Linked DNA regions of Macaca fascicularis. The protein of the gene in region 3 interacts with the protein of the main gene of each other region in a biochemical or structural test. Links are inferred from orthologs where the notes say so. Each region holds a gene or a part of one and is shown on either strand. Other genes may lie near its edges.

Evidence for each region.
Region 1: of the proteins of TRIM25 (region 3) and ZC3HAV1, one has a biochemical effect on the other in vitro, tested with the Homo sapiens proteins (2 studies listed by BioGRID). The link is inferred for Macaca fascicularis from reciprocal best matches to the Homo sapiens genes TRIM25 and ZC3HAV1.
Region 2: of the proteins of TRIM25 (region 3) and RIGI, one has a biochemical effect on the other in vitro, tested with the Homo sapiens proteins (5 studies listed by BioGRID, with this or other methods). The link is inferred for Macaca fascicularis from reciprocal best matches to the Homo sapiens genes TRIM25 and RIGI.

What each region holds. Positions count from the first base shown.
Region 1 is NC_088377.1:180,750,143-180,756,915, reverse strand, and holds part of ZC3HAV1 (zinc finger CCCH-type antiviral protein 1), read left to right. Parts: intron 1-2,428; coding exon 2,429-3,568; intron 3,569-4,018; coding exon 4,019-4,120; intron 4,121-6,773.
Region 2 is NC_088389.1:66,627,475-66,634,247, forward strand, and holds part of RIGI (antiviral innate immune response receptor RIG-I), read left to right. Parts: intron 1-4,751; coding exon 4,752-4,895; intron 4,896-6,773.
Region 3 is NC_088390.1:49,807,450-49,814,942, reverse strand, and holds the start of TRIM25 (E3 ubiquitin/ISG15 ligase TRIM25), read right to left. Parts: upstream 4,849-7,493; 5' UTR 4,789-4,848; coding exon 4,192-4,788; intron 2,982-4,191; exon of another isoform or gene 2,921-2,981; intron 1-2,920.

The DNA.
Region 1 (6,773 bases), on a different chromosome or scaffold from region 3:
AATGAATAATATTTCATTGTATGTATATAATTATATATTTTTTATTCATTCATCTGTCGATGGACATTTGGGTCATTTCCAGTTTGACTATTGTGAATAATGCTGCTGTAAATATGGTGCACAGAAGCCACTTTGAGACCCCGTTTTCAGTTCTTTGGGGGTGTATAATCTGAAGTAGAATTGCTGAATCACATGGTAATTCTATGTTTAAGTTTTTGAGGAATGATCATACCTTTTTTTGTAGCAGCTGTGTCATTTTTCATTTCTGCCAGCAATGCACACGGGTTCACATTTCTCACATCCTCTATCATTTCGTGTTTTCTGATTTTTTTTTTTAAATAATAGCCATCCTAAGGAGTATGAAGTGCTATTATTACTTTTTTTTTTTTTCTTTTTTTGAGACAGTGTCTCACTCTGTCACCCAGGCTGGAGTTCAGTGGTGTGACTTCAGCTCACTGCAATGGCCGCCTCCTGGGTTCAAGTGATTCTTCTGCCTCAGTCTCCCAGGTAGCTGGGATTAGAAGTGCCTGCCACCATGCCCAGCTAATTTTTGTATTTTTAGTAGAGATAGGGTTTCAACATATTGGCCAAGCTGGTCTTGAACTCCTGACCTCAAGTGATCCACCCACCTTAGCCTCCCAAAGTGCTTGGATTCCAGGCATGAGCCACTGTGCCCAGCCAAGTGCTCCTATTTCTGAAGCATTTTCATATTATATAATGACATTCATTTTTAATGTCTTTATGAAGTGGATGTAGAAAAGGTGAATTTTATAAAGCAGATAGAATACATGATTCTAAGATTCTGTGCAAAGTAATGAACAATTAAATTTCCTTATATTTGGGAAATGGTTTATCATTTACAAGGGACTTTCACCCCAAATAAATATTTCATCATTGTTCCTCACAGTGAAACCACAAAGAAAGGCAGATATGTCATTTATTAGCCTTACTTAAGGGGGAAAAGAAACTGAGACTCAGAAATATTAAGAAACTTCTATTGCAAGCAGTCTCAGCTCATTTTTAGACGAATGAAGGATAATATAATGAAGAAATAAAAGGTAACATTTTCAAGACCTCACACCACTAGAAAGTAGCAGAGTGCATGTTCTGATCCCATATCTAATGTTTTTTCTCCCACACTACAGTGGCCTCGGAACAGGGGAACGTCTGGAGGGATGGGTTTTGGTGGTAGCTTCTCAATGTAAACTTACTGTGAATGAGAAAGATCTGTATATGTTTTCACTTCTAGTTAATCTCCCGAGTGAAGCCTTTTCTTGACAGGAGGAGGGTGTTTGCTTTTACTACATTACTGCTGCCCCCTGGGGTTTGGAAGAGAAAAAACGTCTCTTCTACCCCTTCTCCACACAAAAAACACAACTCACACACACACGAGCACACGTGCTCACCTCACATTCACACACCACACGTGCACATGTGCCTCAAACACAGACATGCGCGTCTTCCACATGTACCCCCAGCACACACACACACACCCCCCACATAAACATCACACGCACGCACGCCACACACACACTCCACACGTGCTCACAAACACACCCTACTCCTTCCTTCCTCCCTGCTTCCAGGAGGGTGTGACCTGTCAAATTTCTAGAGGGAGGCCAGTTCCCTCCAGGCCACACTGCTTTGTCGATGTTGACTTCTGATACACTTTGGCCTTATGGAGTGGGATGAAGAAAACTAGGAAAATTTCCGGCTTAAACAAAGTCAGGCCTTTAGACTGTGGTTTCATTTTCTGTTGGTTTGTTTGAAGCATTGTGAATCTGTCAATAGCCAGGTACACCCATATCACAATATGGGCAAAATTGAATGCTTTCTGGAAAATCTTCTCTGATTTGCCCTAATCTGTCTCTCTCCATTGACCACAGTGGTGAATGTTGACTCAGGACCAGGAGATAGTGGACAGCCCCACCTAAAAGTTTTGGGGTTTGGGGGCTACTTTGAGTCCCAGAAGAGAGCCTGGGTCTCACTATCATCCTAGGCCATGGAATGACATGCTCTGCCGTGCAGGCAGAATGTCAGGATTCTTTCATCAACTGACACAGTCAGTGAGCACCTGTAGTCCCAGCTACTAAGGAGGCTGAGGCGGGAGGATCGCTGGAGCCCAGGTGTTCGAGGTTGCAGTGAGCTGTGGTCGGGCCACTGCATTCCAGCCTGGGCAACAGAGCAACACTCCATCTCTTAAAAAAAAAAAAAAAATTTCCCGTCATTGTCAAACCACTCACCTTCAAGATTTTTACACGTCAAACCACCCATCTTCAAGATTTTTACACATCAGATTAGGCCAAGTAATTTGATAGCACTTGGATAGCAAGGCTGGAAAAGCAAAGAGGAGGAAGGGTGGTAGGAACTCAGTTACATTAACTCCAGTGTTCACTACTTTGTTTCATTTTGGCTTTTTCTCCCCTAGCTCCTTCTTCACATCGTAGAAACATGGCGTATAGGGCTAGAAGCAAAAGCCGAGATCGGTTCTTTCAGGGCAGCCAAGAATTTCTTGCGTCTGCTTCAGCGTCTGCTGAGAGGTCCTGCACGCCTAGTCCAGATCCGAGCAGCCACAGGGCTTCCCTGGAGGACACGCCTGTGGATGATCTCACCCACAAGTTCACGTATCTGGGGAGTCAGGATCGCGCTCGGCCTCCCTCAGGCTCGTCCAAGGCTACCGATCTCGGAGGAACAAGTCAGGCCGGAGCAAGCCGGAGGTTTTTAGAGAACGGCAGTCAAGAGGACCTCTTGCATGGAAATCCAGGCAACACTTACCTTGCTTCCAATTCAACACCAGCCCCCAAGTGGAAGAGCCCCACATCCTGGACGAACGACCAAGGCGCCAGGAGAAAGGCCGTGTTTCCTCCCACGCTGCCTGCCGCCCTCTCTTCTCTTGGCTCTCTGCAAACACCTGAAGCTGTGACCACCAGAAAGGGCGCAGGCTTGCTTTCCTCAGACTACAGGAACATCAATGGCAAAAGTGGAACTCAGGACGTCCAGCCTGGCCCTCTTTTTAATAATAATGCTGATGGAGTGGCCACAGATACAACTTCTACCAGATCCTTAAATTACAAAAGCACAAGCAGCAGTCAGAGAGAAATATCAACACCTAGGACTCAGGATGCTGGACCTGCTTCCCGAGATGTTCAGGCCACTGGCAGAATCACAGATGATGCTGGCCCAAGAGTGGCACTTGTTAATGGTAAATACAAAGGGAAGAAACTTGGGGCTAGTGCATTTGTTCACGATACACCAAATGGCTCTAGTCAAGTGGCAGATAAAACTACTGACGTAGAAAAAACTGGTGCCACTGGTTTTGGCTTCACAATGGCAGTCATGGTGGAGAAAGATAAGTTACGTTCTGGAAGTCAGAGTCTGAGGAGCCTGGTCCCCACCACACCTGGGGAATCCACTGCCTCTGCACAAGTCAGCACTCTGCCTCAGTCACCTGCTGCGCTTTCCTCAAGCAACAGAGCTGCAGTATGGAGGGCCCAGGGGCAGAACTGCACCCAGGTTCCTGTTTCCCCTGCCAGTGAGCTCACAAGGAAGACAACAGGCTCTGCTCAGTGTAAGTCACTGAAGGACAAACGGACCCCTGTGTCTCGAGTCTGCAGCAGAGTGGCTATGGCTGCTGGGTTTTCCTTCCATGTTCCCCAGTTCTTAAAGGGTAAAGAGTTAGAGGGTTTTGGTTAAGGGGTGGTCTGGTGAGGAGGTTGACTAGTGAAGACAGGGAACGACCAACCAGTAGAACCACAGGGAATAAGCTGCCACATTTACTGACAATAGGAATATTTCAACTATGATTTAAGAAATAAACACAACTTTCACAGGACTCTGAGGTCCACATTTTTGTTTTATGGAGGGGCTGTCTAGACACTCATGAGAAACACATAAATCATAAGAATTTTCTTGAACATGGCCTGCATTTCAGATATTCTTTCCCATTGTGAGACCAAGTGCCTTGATTTTTGGTTTAAACATTACAATCAGCATACATGCATCCTTTTTTGTTTCATAGATTCTTTATCTGATGTCACAAGTACCACATCTTCTAGGGTGGATGATCATGGCTCAAAGGAAATTTGTCTTGACCATCTGTATAAGGGTTGTCCGTTTAATGGTGAGTAACCTAAGGACTTTTCTGTAAGCTTCTACCTTTTGGCCATTGTAAATAACGCTGCTATGAACATGGGTGTGCAAATGTCTTCTCAAAACCTGGCTTTCAATTCTTTTAGATATATACACAGAAGTGGAGTTGGGGGATCATACAGTACTTCTTTTAATTTTTTTTTTTTTTGCGGAACTTTTTTTTTTTTTTTTTTTGAGACAGAGTCTCGCTCTGTCGCCCAGGCTGGAGTGCAGTGGCCGGATCTCAGCTCACTGCAAGCTCCGCCTCCCGGGTTCATGCCATTCTCCTGCCTCAGCCTCCCGAGTAGCTGGGACGACAGGCGCCCGCCACCTCAACCGGCTAGTGTTTTGTATTTTTTTGGTAGAGACGAGGTTTCACCGTGTTAGCTAGGCTGGTCTCGATCTCCTGACCTCGTGATCCACCCGTCTCGGCCTCCCAAAGTGCTGGGATTACAGGCTTGAGCCACCGTGCCCGGCCGCGGAACTATTTTTCATAGTGGCTGTACCATTTTTCTTTCCCACCAGCAATGCACAAGGGTTCACATTTCTCCACATCCTCACCAACACTTGTTCTTTTTGTGTGTATTTGTTTGCCTTTTTTGTTTGTTTGTTTGTTTTGAGACGAAGTCTCGTTCTGTCACCCAGGATGGAGTGCAGCGGTGCAATCTCAGCTCACTGCAACCTCTGCCCCCTGGGTTCAAGTGATTCTCATGCCTCAGCCTCCCAAGTAGCCGGGATTACAGGCGTGTGCCACCACGTCCGGCTAACTTTTGTATTTTTGGTAGAGACGGGGTTTTGGCACATTGGCCAGACTGGTCTTGAACTCCTGACCTCAAGTGATCCACCCGCCTCGGCCTTCTAAAGTGCTGAGATTACAGGCATGAACCACTGCGCCCAGTAACTGTTTGTCTTTGATAGCAGCCATTCTAACAAGTGTGAGTTGTGGACTATAATGAGTGGTTATGTACTTTTCAATCAGCCAAGTCTCAAGTGGGGCCACTCTATGGGTGTCCCTGCAGTGTCTAAACTTGTCTTTTTTGTTAGTTTGTTTTAGAGCTGTCACACATCTTTATTTTGAGTATTTCAAAACAATTTAAACATAATATAATGCAAATTTTGAAAAACAGAACTATTTTCTATCTTCCTGTATTGTAGCTTATAACATCTATTCATTCTTTAGCCGGCATTTCTGCAATGGGTATCTTTTTTATGCCTAGCCCTGTGCCAAATATGCAAAGGGGATGTAAGCTAAACCATAGTGCAGCCTTCTCTTTAGTGACTTTGTAATTAAGGTAGGGCATGAAAATATCCATAAAATGCTAGGCACGGTGGCTTACGCCTGTAATCCCAGAACTTTGGGAGGCTGAGGCAGATAGATCACTTGAGGCCAGGAGTTCAAGACCAGTCTGGCCATCATGGTGAACACCCATCTCTACTAAAAATACAAAAGTTAGCCGGGCGTGGCAGCACAGGCCTGTAATCCCAGCTACTCGGGAGGCTGAGGCAGGGGAATCTCTTGAACCCGGGAGGTGGAGGTTGCAGTGAGCCAAGATCGCGCCACTGCACTCCAGCCTGGGCGACAGAGTGAGTGAGACTCTGCCTCAAAACAAAAACAAAAACAAACAAACAAAAAATCCGCAAATGAGAAAACTGTGTGCAGTAAGTAAAAACGTATACAAAATTAACCCCCAACTGAGTATTGGGTACTGGCTAAAGGAATGCAGAAAATACAAGTCAGATGGAGATGGAGTGAGATTCGTTAGGAGAATCTTTCTGGAAGAGATGAACTGTAGGCCAGGGCTTCAAGGAAATACAGGCTGTTGCCTCTGCTGGAGAGCATTTTGGCTTAATACACTTGGGGGGGTGCAGAAAGGGTAACTAAATTTCTGATTACCTCATATTTCTTTTTTTTTTTTTTTTTTTGAGACAGAGTCTCGCTCTGACACCCAGGCTGGAGTGCAGTAGCCAGATTTCAGCTCACCGCAAGCTCTGCCTCCCGGGTTCATGCCATTCTTCTTCCTCAGCCTCCCGAGTAGCTGGGACTATAGGCACCCGCCACCACGCCCGGCTAGTTTTTTGTATTTTTTAGTAGAGACGGGGTTTCACCGTGTTAGCCAGGATGGTCTCGATCGCCTGACCTCGTGATCCGCCTGTCTCGGCCTCCCAAAGTGCTAGGATTACAGGCTTGAGCCACTGCGCCCGGCCACCTCATATTTCTATCTGGATAGAGTGACTTTGGGGGTAGTGGAGAATTTTTGTTTTGTTTTGTGTTTTTTTTTTTTTTTTGAGACAGAATTTCACTCTGTCACCCAGGCTGCGGTGCAGTGGAGTGATCTCGGCTCACTGCAACCTCCACCTCCCAGGTTCAAGTGATTCTCCTGCCTCAGTCTCCCAAGTAGCTGGGATTACAGGCACTCACTAGCATGCTTGGCTAATTTTTGTATTTTTAGTAGAGACAGGATTTCATCATGTTGGCTAGGCTGGTCTTGAACTCCTGGCCTCAATTGATCTGCCTGTCTCGGCCTCCCAAAGTGGTGGGATTACAGGCGTGAGCCGCCACACCTGGCCTGAACTTTTGTTTTCTGATGCATCTCCAAGGTAATGAAGGAACCTGGAAAATGGACACACGGCAATGTCAGCAGGTA
Region 2 (6,773 bases), on a different chromosome or scaffold from region 3:
GCTTTGATAAGGGTTTGGGGTTTGGGTTTGAGCATCCTGGTCCCTATATATGGGTTTTAATGGAAGGAAGGAACTCTGCAGAAGAGAGGGCAAAAGCTTGGAGCTCTTTAGGGCAATCTGCAAGAACAGGAAAGGGAGATGGAGGAGCAGAGAGTACTGGGAGACTGCTTTCTTCCCCAGCGCCCCAGCTGCACTGTCCCTTGTCTGCGTGTGGCCTGCTGTCACTAGAGCACTCCCCATCCCCCGCCCCAGAATTCTCTGGTCACTCTGCAGCCATCTTAACATGTAGACAGCCCAGAGGTATCCAAGAACTGATTTCCATGGTGGACGCTTCAGGATTTGGTGGTGTTTCATTCTGGAGGAATAAGGATGAAGGGTCTGGCAGTTGTGGTTGTGAAGGTTTATTTGAAATCAAAATGAGGAAGCTGCTTTTCTTTCCTCATGAAGCAGAGAACAAAGATGGGATGCAAGAAAGTTCATTTTGAACAAAGAACTTCCAACATGCGTACCCATGACTACACATAATTAAGATAGTTTGCTTTTCTCCACCTCCGTGTGGAGCTAGGCTTCTTTTTTTAGGTTGTATGGGTGAAGGTCAGTATGCCATAGACTTATGATTGGTTGAGCCTCTTTACCCAGTTATTGATTTTTACTTAGTTTTAAGTATAGCTGTAATAGTTTTAGCTTATTAGGATTTATACCTATTGCCTAGAGTAACACTTAAAATATTTGAGATTATTAGTATTTAATTGAATTTCAGTATATAATTGAATACCATTATAAGTGAATTTTTTAAAAACTTGGATGCCTGAAAGGCAAGGTTATATTTTCACCTTCTTTCCTGGTAACCTCTATTCTGCTTAAGTAGTGATTAGAACCATATCTGAAAAAACTAATTAAAAAAGAAAATTAAAATTGCTCATAGGAAAATGTGTATCATATAACCCAGGTATTTCAAATCTAGAAATTTGTCCAAAGGGAAATAATGGGATATAATGTAGCAGTTTTACAACAGTGAAAAATTGGATTAAAAACAGGAGGCCTGAACACCCTTTATTTTTACAAAAATAATGAAGATAATTTCAGGTGGGATGGGGCAAGAAGTGGGGAAGGGGAAATCACGTTTGGTTTTTAATTTTTAAATTATTTATTTCTTATTTATTTTTTTGAGACAGGGTCTCACTCTGTCTCCCAGGCTGGAGTGCAGTGGCGTGATCTTGGCTCACTGCAATCTCAGCCTCCAAAGTAGCTAGGACTACAGGTGTGTGCCACCACGCATCATTAATTTTTGTATTTTTAGTAGAGATGGTCTCTACAGCCCAGGCTGGTCTTGAACTCTAGACTCAAGTGATATGTCAGCCTTGGCCTCCCAAAGTGTCGGGATTACAGGCTGGGATTATAGGCATGAGCTACTGTGCCCAGCCAGTATATTTGGTTTTTTAAATCAAAACATTCTAGGTCTAGCTGGGCATGATGGCTCACGCCTATAGTCCCAGCTACATGGGAGGATCATTTAAGCCCAAGAGTTCAAGTCCAGCCAGGGCAACGTAGTAGGAATCTATCTCAAAAAGCGGGGGTAGGGGAAAGGAAGCCGGGTGTGGTGGCTTACACGTGTAATACCAGCACTTTGGGAGGCTGAGGTGGGTGGATAACCCGAGGTCAGGAGTTCAAGACCAGCCTAGCCAACATGGTGAAACCCCATCTCTACTAAAAATACAAAAATTAGCTGGATGTGGTGGCACCTGCCTGTAATCCCAGCTACTTGGGAGGCTGAGGCAGGAGAATCACTTGAACCCAGGAGAATCACTTGAACCCAGGAGTCGGAGGTTGCAGTGAGCTGAGATTGTGCCACTGTACTCCAGCCTGGGTGACAAAGTGAGACTCTGTCTCAAAAAAAAAAAAAAAAAAAAATCTAAATTTTTTTTTATATAAAGCAAATTTGAATTTGAAGTGGTATGGGAATCAGATTATCTATGTATGATCAGTAACCAACTAAAAGATATAAGGGGGAGGGAGATTTCCATTCACAGTGACAATAACTGCAGTTCATGCATGTAGAACACTGACTCTCCACTAGTCCCTGCAAATGCTTTACTTACATCAATAGGCTTTACAGCAATCCATATAGTAGTGCCTCCTATGTCATTTTATAGGCAGGAAACTGAGACTTGAATAGCTTCAGTGCCAGTAGATCACACAGCTAGTTCATGGCAGAGTTGGTAGAGCCCATCTGTTTAACCATTACATCTACCAGCCTAATCAGAAAAGTTTGAAGCAGAAATGAGGACAAATAAATTTTACTGGGAGATATTAAGATAAAAGAAATGCCATGCTCTTGAATGACTGAATATTTTAAACATGTGCATTCATCCCAAATTCGCTTATTCATGTATCACAAACCATATTGAAAGCATAAATATACTTTTAATTTGATAAAATGGTTCTAGAGTTTATATAAAATAATAAATAGATGAAAATAGCTATATTTCTAGAAAAATTAAAATGGGGGTAGCTAGTTGTTTTGTATTGATAAGGCAATCCCTAATGAATGGAGATTGCCTTATCAATACAAAACTACAAGCCACCCCATTACAACATTTTCATGGCTCTTAGCATAAGACTAGCCTAACAGAGGGAGGCAACGCTGATGGGCATTTACCCTGTGCTGGGCAGGCCTGAGCAGTCATAAGCTCATGTTATCTCCTGACAGTCCATGAAGCAGATGCTATCATCCCATTTTATATGTAAAGAAACGAGGCGCTTGCCCAAAATGACGTAGCTGCTAAGTGACAGGGACGCTATTTGCATCTAGGCTGTCTGGATCCACCTGGGACACTTGAAAGCATAGTCTGATATAGAGAGGCGCCACCATAAACCAGTGGGACGGACAGAATCTTCCATAGAAGACATGGAGGAAATCTGTGTTCTTTCTTCCTTCATGATGTTTCAGGGTTCCTTTTATCATTTCCTCTGTTTAGAAAACTTCCTTTAGCCAATATTTTAGGGTAAATCTGCTGATGACAGATTCTCAGTGTTCCTTCATCTGAGAATGTCTTCATTTCTTCCTTATTTTTGAAGGTGGCATCTTGCTGAGTCTAGGGTTCTGGGATGGACTGTTCTTTTCTTTCAGCATTTAAAAAATATTGTGCCACTTCCAGGTAGCCTCCATTGTTTCTAATGACAAATCTCCTGTTATTCAGACTGATTTCCCCCTATGGGTAAGATGTCTTTTTTTTTTTTTTTCCTCTGCTTTCAAGATTTTTTTCTTCAGTTTTCATAAGTTTAATTATAACGTGTCTCAGAGTGTTTTTTGAAGGTGTTTATCCTGTTTGGAGCTTGTTCAGCTTCTTGAATCTTGGTTGATGTAGCTTGTTAAATTTGGGATATATTTGGCTGTTATTTCTTTGAATACTTTTTAAGCCCTGCTCTTCTCTCCTTGCAGAACTCCAGTGCCATGACATCGTTTTTTATAGTCCTACAGGTCCTTGAGACTTTGCTTCCCCCCCTCCCAGTGTATTTTGTTGTTGTTTAGATTGGGTAATTTCTGTTGTTCTTTCAGATCACTGACTCTTTTCTTTGTCCCTTCCATTCTGCCACGGAAAGCCCATCCATTGACCTTTTTATTTTGGTTGTATCTTTCAGTTCTAAACTTTGTCTTCCATTTCATTGTTGAACCTTTATGTTTTCTCTTTATGTTTCAAAAGTATTTATAATTGTCCATCGAAGCATCTTTATTAGGGGCTTTAAAATCTTTCTCATCTTAGTGTTGGCATCTATGATTTTTTTTTCATTCAGTTTGAGATCTATTTATTGGTATGAAGAGTTTTATACTATCATGTCCATGGTTCTAAGTTGGACCATGTTCTTAGCCAAGGACTAGATTTTGAATTAGAATATAATCATACTACACATATGCAACAATATTCCCTGTGGCTGAAGGGGAGAGAGAAAAAAGGTTTTAGATGTTGAGGGCTGTATTAGTCTGTTTTTATGCCACCGACAAAGACATACCTGAGATTGGGAAAACAAAGAGGTTTAATTGGACTTACAGTTCCACATGGCTGGGGAGGCCTCAGAATCATGGTGGGAGGCAGAAGGCACTTCTTACATGGCAGCAGCAGGAGAAAAATGAGGAAGAAGCAAAAGTGGAAACCCCTGATAAACCCATCAGATCTCGTGAGACTTATTCACTATCATAAGAATAGCACAGGAAAGACTGGCCCCCATGATTCAATTACCTCTCCCTGGGTCTGTCCCATAACACACGGGAATTCTGGAAGATGAAAACAATTCAAGTTGAGATTTGGGTAAGGATACAGCCAAACCGTATCAGGGGCTCTTCTGCCTGCTGTATCACTCATTGGGTTTGTGCCTGCAAATGGATATAATTATGCCTGAAACAGTGCATATTGTATATCTGGTACAGGTTTTGCTTTTTTTCAAGTTTTGCAAAACACTAAAGTAGAAAGCATGGTTCATATGACTATTCTATGGACGTCTTTAGTGCTTTTATGAGCATTTTTGATGAAGAAATTCAAAGACTGGTTGGAGGCCACAATTAAACATTGACTAATATTAAGTTAGGAGAACCAATAAAATCTGTGATTTTACCAAGTCAGGTACCATATGTTCATGGAAGTTGTATATGAATGATTGTATATGTGCATGTATATGTATATATCTATCTGTGCCTGTTTCTCTCTATATGTGTTATACTCAAATTATATTTGAGGTCTTTATTTTTGCATTAGATTCTGCATATACAGACTCATGAAAAATTAATCAGAGATAGTCAAGAAAAACCAAAACCTGTACCTGATAAGGAAAATAAAAAACTGCTCTGCGGAAAGTGCAAAGCCTTGGTATGTTACACAGCTGACATAAGAGTGATAGAGGTAAGCTGCCTTTTTACAAAGTGCCTGGTCATGTTTTAGCACTAGCTAAAGCTTACTGTTGGTGAAATATTTATAGTAAAACTCTATTATTTCCATTGCTATTGTGGCCATGATCTGTGTATTTGAAAAAAAGCTAAGAAGTGAAAAAGAAATACTAAATGTTCAATAATAAAGTTTTTGGCCAGGCATAGTGGCTCACACCTGTAATCCAAACACTTTGGGAGGCCGAGGTGGGTAAATCACAAGGTCAGGAGTTCGAGACCAGCCCGGCCAACATGATGAAACCCTGTCTCTACTAAAAATACAAAAATTAGCTGGGCGTAGGGGCAGGCGGCTGTAATCTTAGCTACTCGGGAGGCTGAGGCAGGAGAATTGCTTGAACCCAGGAGGCAGAGGTTGCAGTGAGCCGAAATCACGCCATTCCACTCCAGCCCAGGTGACAGAGAGACTCCGTCACAAAAAAAAAATTAAAAAAAAAAAAAAAAAGCTGGGCATGGTAGCAAGAGCCTGTAGTTCCAGCTACTCAGGAGGCTAGGTGGGCTGATTGTTTGAACTTGAGAGATCAAGGCTGCAGTAAGCCATGATTGCACCACTGCACTCTAGTCTGGATGACAGAGTAAGACCCTGGCTCAAAAAAAGAAAAAAATAGTTTTAAAACATTGCTGTACAGCCACTTAATATTACACAGCCATTTAAAAAAAAGCCATTAAAGTGGTCAGGCCGAGCATGGTGGCTCATGCCTGTAATCCCAGTACTTTGAGGCAGGTGGATCACCTGAGGTCAGGAGTTCGAGACCAGCCTGGCCAACATGGCAAAACCCTCTCTCTACTAAAAATACAAAAATAAGCTGGGCATGGTGGTGGGCACCTGTAATCCCAGCTACTCAGGAGGCTGAGGCAGGAGAATCACTTGAACCCAGGAGGCGGAGGTTGCAGTGAGCTGATGTCGCACCACTGCACTCTAGTCTGGGTGACAGAGCAAGACTCTGTCTCAAAAAAAAAAAAAAAAAAAAAAAAAAAAAAAAGTCATGCTACATGCAATGAAGTGTCCTGGATTAGCTCCTGGAACAGATAAAGGATATGACTAGAGAAAGAGTGGTAAAATCTGTAGTTTAGATAATAGTAATGTACTGAGGTTAATATCTTGGTTTTGACAAATGTACTGTGGTATATGAAATGTTAGCATTTGGGGAAACTGGGCAAAGGGTATGCAGAAATTTTCTGGGATATCTTTGCAATTTTTCTGTAAATCTAAAATTGTTCCAAAGTAAAGTTTATTTTAAAGATTATGAAGTTTATGTAGTATAATGAAAAACTGCTTACAAACTAATGTGGAAAAAAGTAACCAGAACACAAAATTATAAAGATGCTACTTTATAGCTGTGTGAAACAGCAGCAAATACCATTGTCACTGTCAAGAAAAAGTCAAAAAACTTACCTTTCTACAGAAAAACAAAGGCTAGGGGAACTATACCAAAATGTATTAATATTTTGGTGGTGAGATTCCATGATCTTTTTCTCTTTCCCTAGTACTTTATGTTTTCCAAACATTCCTTTTGGGCTATGGATCACTTCTATAATGAAGAAAATATATCCTTATTTGTAAAATGTGACATCTGAAGGTTGGCTTTCTATTGCAGCCTTGTATTTTGTTCTTAAAACTTTCAGAAAAAGGGTTAGAAAAATCTCCAAAGAGAAATGTGGGGTATAACTGTCTTGCATGTGGGGTTACGGTGGAGGGGCTGGGCTGGCTCAGATGAGGAGTTATTACTTCAGGGTGTTCCATTCATCTTCAGAAAGCAGAAATCTCTCATCAGCTCAGCTGTTTGGGCAAAAAGCATATTAGGAGTCATATTGCTAAGTTCCCTTACCTTTCTAA
Region 3 (7,493 bases):
GCAGAGGATTAAGAAGTCAAGGTCCAGGAGAAGGGGGAAGGGGGCCCAGAGAGATAAGCCTGATATCAAGGATGTTCACTCCAGAGGCATCTGCCAATCCCAGAACAAAGCTGGGAGCCTTTGTCAGCCTCACAGGGCAGGGAGACAGAAACCAGAGTCCAAGGCTCACTGTAGACTGGGACCACCAAGGGCTGGGAAGATGAATCAGCCAGCCAGGCGCAGTGGCTCATGCCTGTAATCCTAGCACTTTAGGAGGCCCAGGCAGGTGGATCATTTGCACTCAGGAGTTCGAGACCAGCTTGGGCAACATGGCAAAACCCTGTCTGTACTAAAAATACAAAAATTAGCCAGGCATGGTGGTGCACACCTGTAGTCCCAGCTACTTAGGGGGCTGAGGCAGGAGGATCGCTTGAATCCGGAAGGTTAAGGCTGCATTGAGTCGAGATGGCATCACTGCACTCCAGCCTAGGTGACTAAGTGAGACCCTATCTCAAAAAAAAAAAAAAAAAAAAAAAGATGAAGCAGCTCACAGGGGCTGAAGCCCAGCCGCAAATCTGCTCAATCCTAGCCACCTCCAGAAACAAAGGCAAACTGTATATGAAGGAAGCTAGTATCCTCATCTGATTTCTATTAATTTTCATAATCAATATCTAAGTCTCCTACCTCCTTGCTCAGATGAAATAATGGGGCACAGAAATGGGAAGGCAAATCACCACTGCTGTAACAAGAGCAGCTAGTATTTATTATGCACTTACTGTATGCCAGGCATGGTTCTAGTGCTTTACCTGTATTAACTTACTTAAAGCTAAGAACAACACTATGAGGTAGGAATTATGTAGCCTTTACAGACAAAGACACTGAGGCATGGAACAATTAAGTGACTTGCCCCAGCTACACTACTAGTGACTGGCACATCTAAGATCCTGATATTAAAATCATAGACACATGTCCAAACTGAGCATGCTGGAGATTTCCAGAAAAAAACCATTTCCTTCCCGAAACTAGCAGACTCAACATACTCTAGCCCTGTCTTCCATTTTCCAGACTCTTCAACTCCACCCAAGATATTCTGGGCGGAACCTGATCTTGAATCTGGATTTGAACAACCCAATGACAGTCACATGTAGGGGCTGGAGGCAGGGACCAAGGCCACACTAACTCAATCCAAAAAGCCCAAGCTGCTCATGATGTTTCAAACTTGACCTCTGTGACACCGCCCTTCGACCTGGCCTCTAACAGTGGCCAAGATAAGGTGTGGGCCAAAGACCAGGCCTACATACATCCGGCCTTGCTGGCCTCCGAGCAGGAAGAGACCTCATAACACCCCAAGGCTGCCAACTGCTTCACTTTCAAGAGCTGCTCATAGCACTACACCCTGAGCCCTGTGTTTTGAAAGATTTGATGCACCATTAATCAAACACATGCAGCAGTACCCTCATCATGAATGGTGCCCACATGACTCCAGACCAAAGGAAAGTGACCCGAAAACTTTGGTAGCAGCAATAATCCCCTAATCAAAGGTAAAGGACTTTTTGAAATTCTGAGGATCCCTTCACAGACTGGAGACTTGGGTCTTCCACATGGGAGGCACCAGAGTCTCAAGTCCGCCCATACCAGTGGCCAAGACAACCCAACCCCCAAGGCCAAGGGCATTGCCCAGCTGAGACTGGCTCTGCCAACAGTGATGGGCAGCAGTAGCAGGGCTCAAAAAGCAGACCTGTTATAGGACTCAGCAAGTCAGGACAGCAGGGCAGGCGTTGGCAGAGGAAGGCCTGTTGTTAGGAATAAACAGCAGAGTTTAGGCCAGGCTCCTGGCTCACGCCTGTAATCCCAGCATTTTGGGAGGCTGAGGTGGGAGGATCCCTTGGGGTTGGGAGTTCAAGACCGGCCTGGACAACATAGTGAGATCCTGTCTCTACAAAAAATGTTTTAAAATATTAGCTGGCTGTGGTGGCACGCACTTGTAGTCCTAGCTACTCAGGAGGCTGAGGCAGGAGGATCACCTGAGTCCAGGGTTTAAGGTTATAGTGACCTATGATCATGCCACTGTACTCAAGCCTGGGTGACAGAGTGAAAACCTGTCTCTAAAAGAAAAGATTAAAAAATATATATATATGGGCTGGGCATGGTGGCTCACACTTATAATCCCAGCACTTTGGGAGGCCAAGGTGGGTGGATCACAAGGTCAGGACTTTGAGACCAGCCTGGCCAATATGATGAAACCCAGTCTGTACTAAAAATATAAAAATTAGCTGGGCATGGTGGCACACGCCTGTAGTCCCAGCTACTCAGGAGGTTGAGGCAGGAGAATCGCTTGAACCAGGAGGCGGAGGTTGCAGTGAGCTGAGACCGCACCACTGCACTCCAGCCTGGCAACAGAGCAAGACTCCGTCTCAAAAAAAAAAAATCTGATTTTACAGCCAGGCCGGGTGGTAGCACACCTGTAGTCCCAGCTACTCGGGAGGCTAAGATGGGAGGAGCATTGAGGCCAGGAGTTCAAGACCAGCCAAGGCAACATAGTGAGATCCTGTCTTTACACAAGAATTTTTTATAACTTAGCCAGGTGTGGTGGCTCACATTTGTAGTACTACCTACTCAGGAGGCTGAGGCAAGAGGATCACCTGAGCCCAGGAGTTGGAGATTACAGTGAGCTATGATCACCCCACTGTACTCCAGCCTGGGTGACAAAGTAAGATCCTGTCTCTAAAAGAAGGAAAAAAAAAAAGCCAAGTTTATAGCCAGGCATGGTGGCACACCTGTAGTCCCAGCTACTCAGGAGGCTGAGATGGGAGGATCCCTTGAGGCCGGAAGTTCAAGAACAGCCTAGGCAACATAGCAAGACCCTGTCTCTAAAAGGAAAAAAAAAAAAAAGCCAAGCTTATATGCTACACAAAGCTGGATGCAGACCCCCAACTCTGACCTTGCTCAGGCTACTGTCTCCTTTGACAACACGAAGACGGGTCTTGTTCTCCCTGAAGGTGCTGTGAGAATGAAATGAAATCAGGCCATGCTTTGGATCTTAGGCTGATGTAACAAAAGGTGGTTTGATTTCAGCCTCTGCTTTGAGTCCACAAGGGAAAGGTATGATCCCCAGACAACCTAAAAACATTGCAGACCTGAAAGGCCCTTAGGAATCCACCTAGTCCCACAGCCTCACTATACTGGTGAGGACCCAGGTCCAGGGGCCAAACCCTGTGCTCAAAGTCACACGGCCAGGACAGAGGACACTATGGTGCAAGAGTGTTGGCTCTCCCTGTGGTTCTGATCCAGTGATTACTGGGAGGCTGCCCACCCTCCCTCTTAGGCCTCTAATAACAACCCTTCCTGATCACACGAACTCTCCGGCCCACCAAAGGCTTTTGCTTACATGACCTCAAGCTTCCTGGGCTGTTTGGTGCTCCAGACTCTACGGACCTGGATACGAGGCTGGTCCATGGGGAGAAATGCAAACTATGAAATCGAACCAACCTGGGCCGCAATGCTTGCGTGGCCATTTACTGCATTAGGTCAGGCTAAGTTCATTTCTCTGAACCTCAGTATCCTCAAGAGTAAAATGAAACTAAATCATATCCACCTCCTGGGTGCCACCAGGACTTCGTGAAGGAACAGAGGTTACCTCCAAGGTTCATAGTTGACATTCAAAACCCTCTACTAAACACCATCAGATGGTGGGGTGCAGTGGCTCACGCCTTTAATCCTAGCGCTTTAGGAGGTAGAGGTGGGCAGATCGCTTGAGCTCAGGAATTTGAGACCAGCCTGGGCAACATGGCGAAACCTCATCTCTACAAAAAGGTAAAAAAATTAGCGAGTCTGTGGTCCCAGCTACTCTTGAGGCTGAGGTAGGAGGATCCCTTAAGTCCGGGAAGTCAAGGCTGCAGTGAGCTGTGATTCTGCCACTGCACTCCAGCTTGGGTGAGAGGGACGACACCCTGTCTCAAAAAAAATAAAAATAAACACCATCAGACAAAGACAGGCTTATGGCAAGCAACCTAACCTGTCTTCATGGATGATGGCAGAGGACTATATAATCTCCCAGCCCCTTTCTACTCTGACATTGGAGATGCCCCGGCCTCGAATTCAGGCCCATCTCCCCCAGGGCGTCCAGAGGGTGGCAGAGAGGCCCCCGGTGGCCCCTCTGCACCACCCAGCAGGCCCAGGCTGCCCTCTGCGCCCTCCCGGGCCATTCGTTACCTCCAGGTTGGCGCTGGCCTGGCTCAGGGACGCGGGAGAGCAGGCCTTATGCTCTACCAGGCAGATGTGGCAGATGCACTCGCCGTGCTCGGGGCAGAAAAACTCTCGCAGCCGGTTGTGCTGGGAACATTTGCGGCGCAACAGGTCGCGAACTGGAGACTGCAGCGGATGGTCCTGGAAGGCGGGGCTGTCGAAGTGCGGCTGCAGGTGCTCCTGACAGAAGGAGGCCATGCACACCAAGCATGTCTTCACGGCGGCCTCCTTCAGGCAGTGGTCGCAAGCCACCTGGGCACCCGGGCTGGGTGCAGAGGCGCGGGCGGGCGGCGTCCAGCCGTCGGCGGGTGGCTCCCGGGCCAGCTCGGCCTGCAGGAACTGCTCCACCACGTTGCACAGCACAGTGTTCTTGTGCAGCTGCGGTCGCGCCTGGTAAACGGCGCGGCACTGCGGGCACAAGTATGGGGCGCCCTGGACGGCCCACGTCTCGTTCAGGCACGAACCGCAGAAGTTGTGGCCGCACGGAGTGGTGACCGGCTCCTTGAAGGGCTCCAGGCAGATGGAGCACGACAGCTCCTCGGCCAGGGGGCACAGCTGTGCCATGATGCTCCCAGGGGTCGAGACGCGACTACTGCAACCGCGCTCCGAGGCTGCCGAGGAAACGAAACCTAGCCCGGGAAGGGCAGTCCCTGCAGCCGTCAGGAAGTCACGTGGGGCGCGGAGGGGCGGGCGGCGAGGACTGGTCGGGCCTCGCGAGGTACCCTCGAGAGCCTGCGGGCACCGAAGTGCCAGTTGCCCACGAAGTGGCGAAGGTCGGCCGCGCTGCGAGCCTCGAGAGCTCCCGCGGGCTGGGCGCGGGACGCTGGGCTCGGCCTTAGCCCCCGGGGTTTAGAGCATCCTCGCGACCACCCGGAGGCTTCTGGGGGCCACTCTGCGGATGAGGAAGCTGACGACTGGGTGCAGAACCCCGGACCCCCAGATTCAGAGCCCAGGTCCAGTCGCGCTTCCGCACAAACTTGCGCCCGGAGCAAGTCCCCTCCTTCCCAGCACTCATCTGAGACCAGAGGTGTTCCCATAACTATGGGGCAAGCTTTAAAAAAAGCAAAAAAAAAAAAAAAAAAAAAAAAGGAAACCTGTAGGAACTGTTAAACCACAATGCTTTTTTCTTCTTCTTTTTTTAATCCTTCCTCTTTCCTCGTCCCGGATTGGGACATGCGAACATACAGTCCCTGAAGACTGGAGCCCATAGTCACACACTCAGATTTAAACCTGGTGATTTATTTCCATTCTACTGATATATCATGCTTTTATAAAAATTCCCATTTCTACTTTCCTGGGATTTGGAGTTACCCAGTTTAACAAAGGCTTTCTCTCTCCTTCTCTCTCTCTCTCTCTCTTTCTCTCTCTCTCTCTCTCTCTCTCTCTCTCTCACACACACACACACACACACATAATATTGGAACTTAAATATTTTTCTCAAAGTTACTGATTTAAAGTTACTTCCTTTAATACTTTCTTTTGCTCTGTTTTCCCTCCTCTGGCTTGACTGCAGGACGTATGGGTGGACTGGAGAGTAGAAGTGTTCAAAAGAGGTGGGGATTGGCCGGTCCCAGTGGCTGATGACTGTAATCCCAGCACTTTGGGAGGCCGAGGCGGGTGGATCACGAGGTCAAGAGATCGAGACCATGCTGACGAAAACTGTGAAACCCTGTCCCTACTAAAAATACAAAAAAATTAGCCGGGCGTGGTGGCGAACGCCGGTAGTCCCAGCTATCGGGGAGGCTGAAGCAGGAGAATGCAATGAACCCGGGGGATGCAGCTTGCAGTGAGTGGAGATGGCGCCACTGCGCTCCAGCCTGGGCAACAGAGCGAGTCTCGTCTCAAAAAAAAAAAAAAAAAAAAATGCCGGGGGGGCTGGTGGCAAAGAGAAAGATGGTGTTTTGGAAGGAATTAGTTGGAGTTTGCTTTGGGGACAGAGTGGGTAGCAAAATGAGGAAAAGATAAATGTCTTAGTTTACCTTGTAATAGCTACTCTTTATGGGGTACCCACTGTGTGCTAGATAAGTCACATGGTTATCTCTTATTATCCTTATAAACCCTGCAAGACAGCCAGTCCATTTTAGGAATGAGAGTCTCAATTTATATAAAACAGGACGGGGATTGTAGCTCAGAACCGCTGACCTCCACATTGTCACTCACTCCTGATTCCCCTAATTCTTGTTCTGCAGGCTCCTTTTCCCCTAAAACCTTTTACCATTTACCTTTTTATTCTTTTTCCCTTCTTTCTTTCTTCTTTTCTTCTTTCTTTCTTTTAGACAAGGTTTTGCTCTGTTGGCTAGGGTGTGGCACTATCATAGCTCATTACAGCCTCCACCTCCTGGGATCAAGCAATCCTCCCACTTCAGCCTCCCAAGTAGCTGGGAATACAGGCACGTGCCACCACACACAGCTAATTTTTAAAACTTTTTTTTGTAGAGACAAGGTCTCTCTATGTTGCCTGGGCTCATTTTGAACTTCTGACCTCAAACAACCCTCTCACCTCAGCCTCCCGAAGTGCCAAAATTACAGGCGTGAGCCACCATGCGCCTGTCCCACGTCTTGTTTGCACAGAGAGGAGGAATACAGAAGAATGAGGGGATCGGAAATGAAAACTATGCATAGTATCTCATTTCATCAAAAAAAAAAAAGTCACAGATGAGGAAACCGAGGCTTAGAGAAACTAAATAACTTGTCTAAGAGTGGACATTGGCACGTAACCCATCTGCTTTCTGAAGCCAAGAGTTTCCTACCATAAAATGCTGCCTCGCAAGGGAGGAGTGGAGCAGTTTCCAGGAAACACTGTGAAATCCCCTCTGACCTATTTATCATGGGTGAGGTGGCGTGGTGATTCATGCCAGAATGTGGAATTCACTTTCCAGGCTGATTGGTTTAGAAGGCCTTGTTAGACCAATGAGGATGAATAGGAGGGCCATACTTTATCAAATTCCAAGCAGTAGATATTTACTAAGACCTACTGTGCAATAGGCATGCAACAGACTGAGTGCTAAATGAGTAAGATGTGAGTCAAACATGGGTCTGCCTTCTAAAACAGGAAGAAGACAACAACATAAAGCAGTAAAGAGGAATATGGGGAGAAGTCAGGTCCTGCTAGGGGTATGGATTCCTCATATGGACAGTAAGAATCCCAATAATACCTTCTTCATGGGACGTTCTGGAATAAAAATGAAACGCATGAGTCAGCCACAGTGGCTTACATTTGTAATTCCAGCACTTTGGGAGGATGAGGCAGGTGCATCACTTGAGGTCAG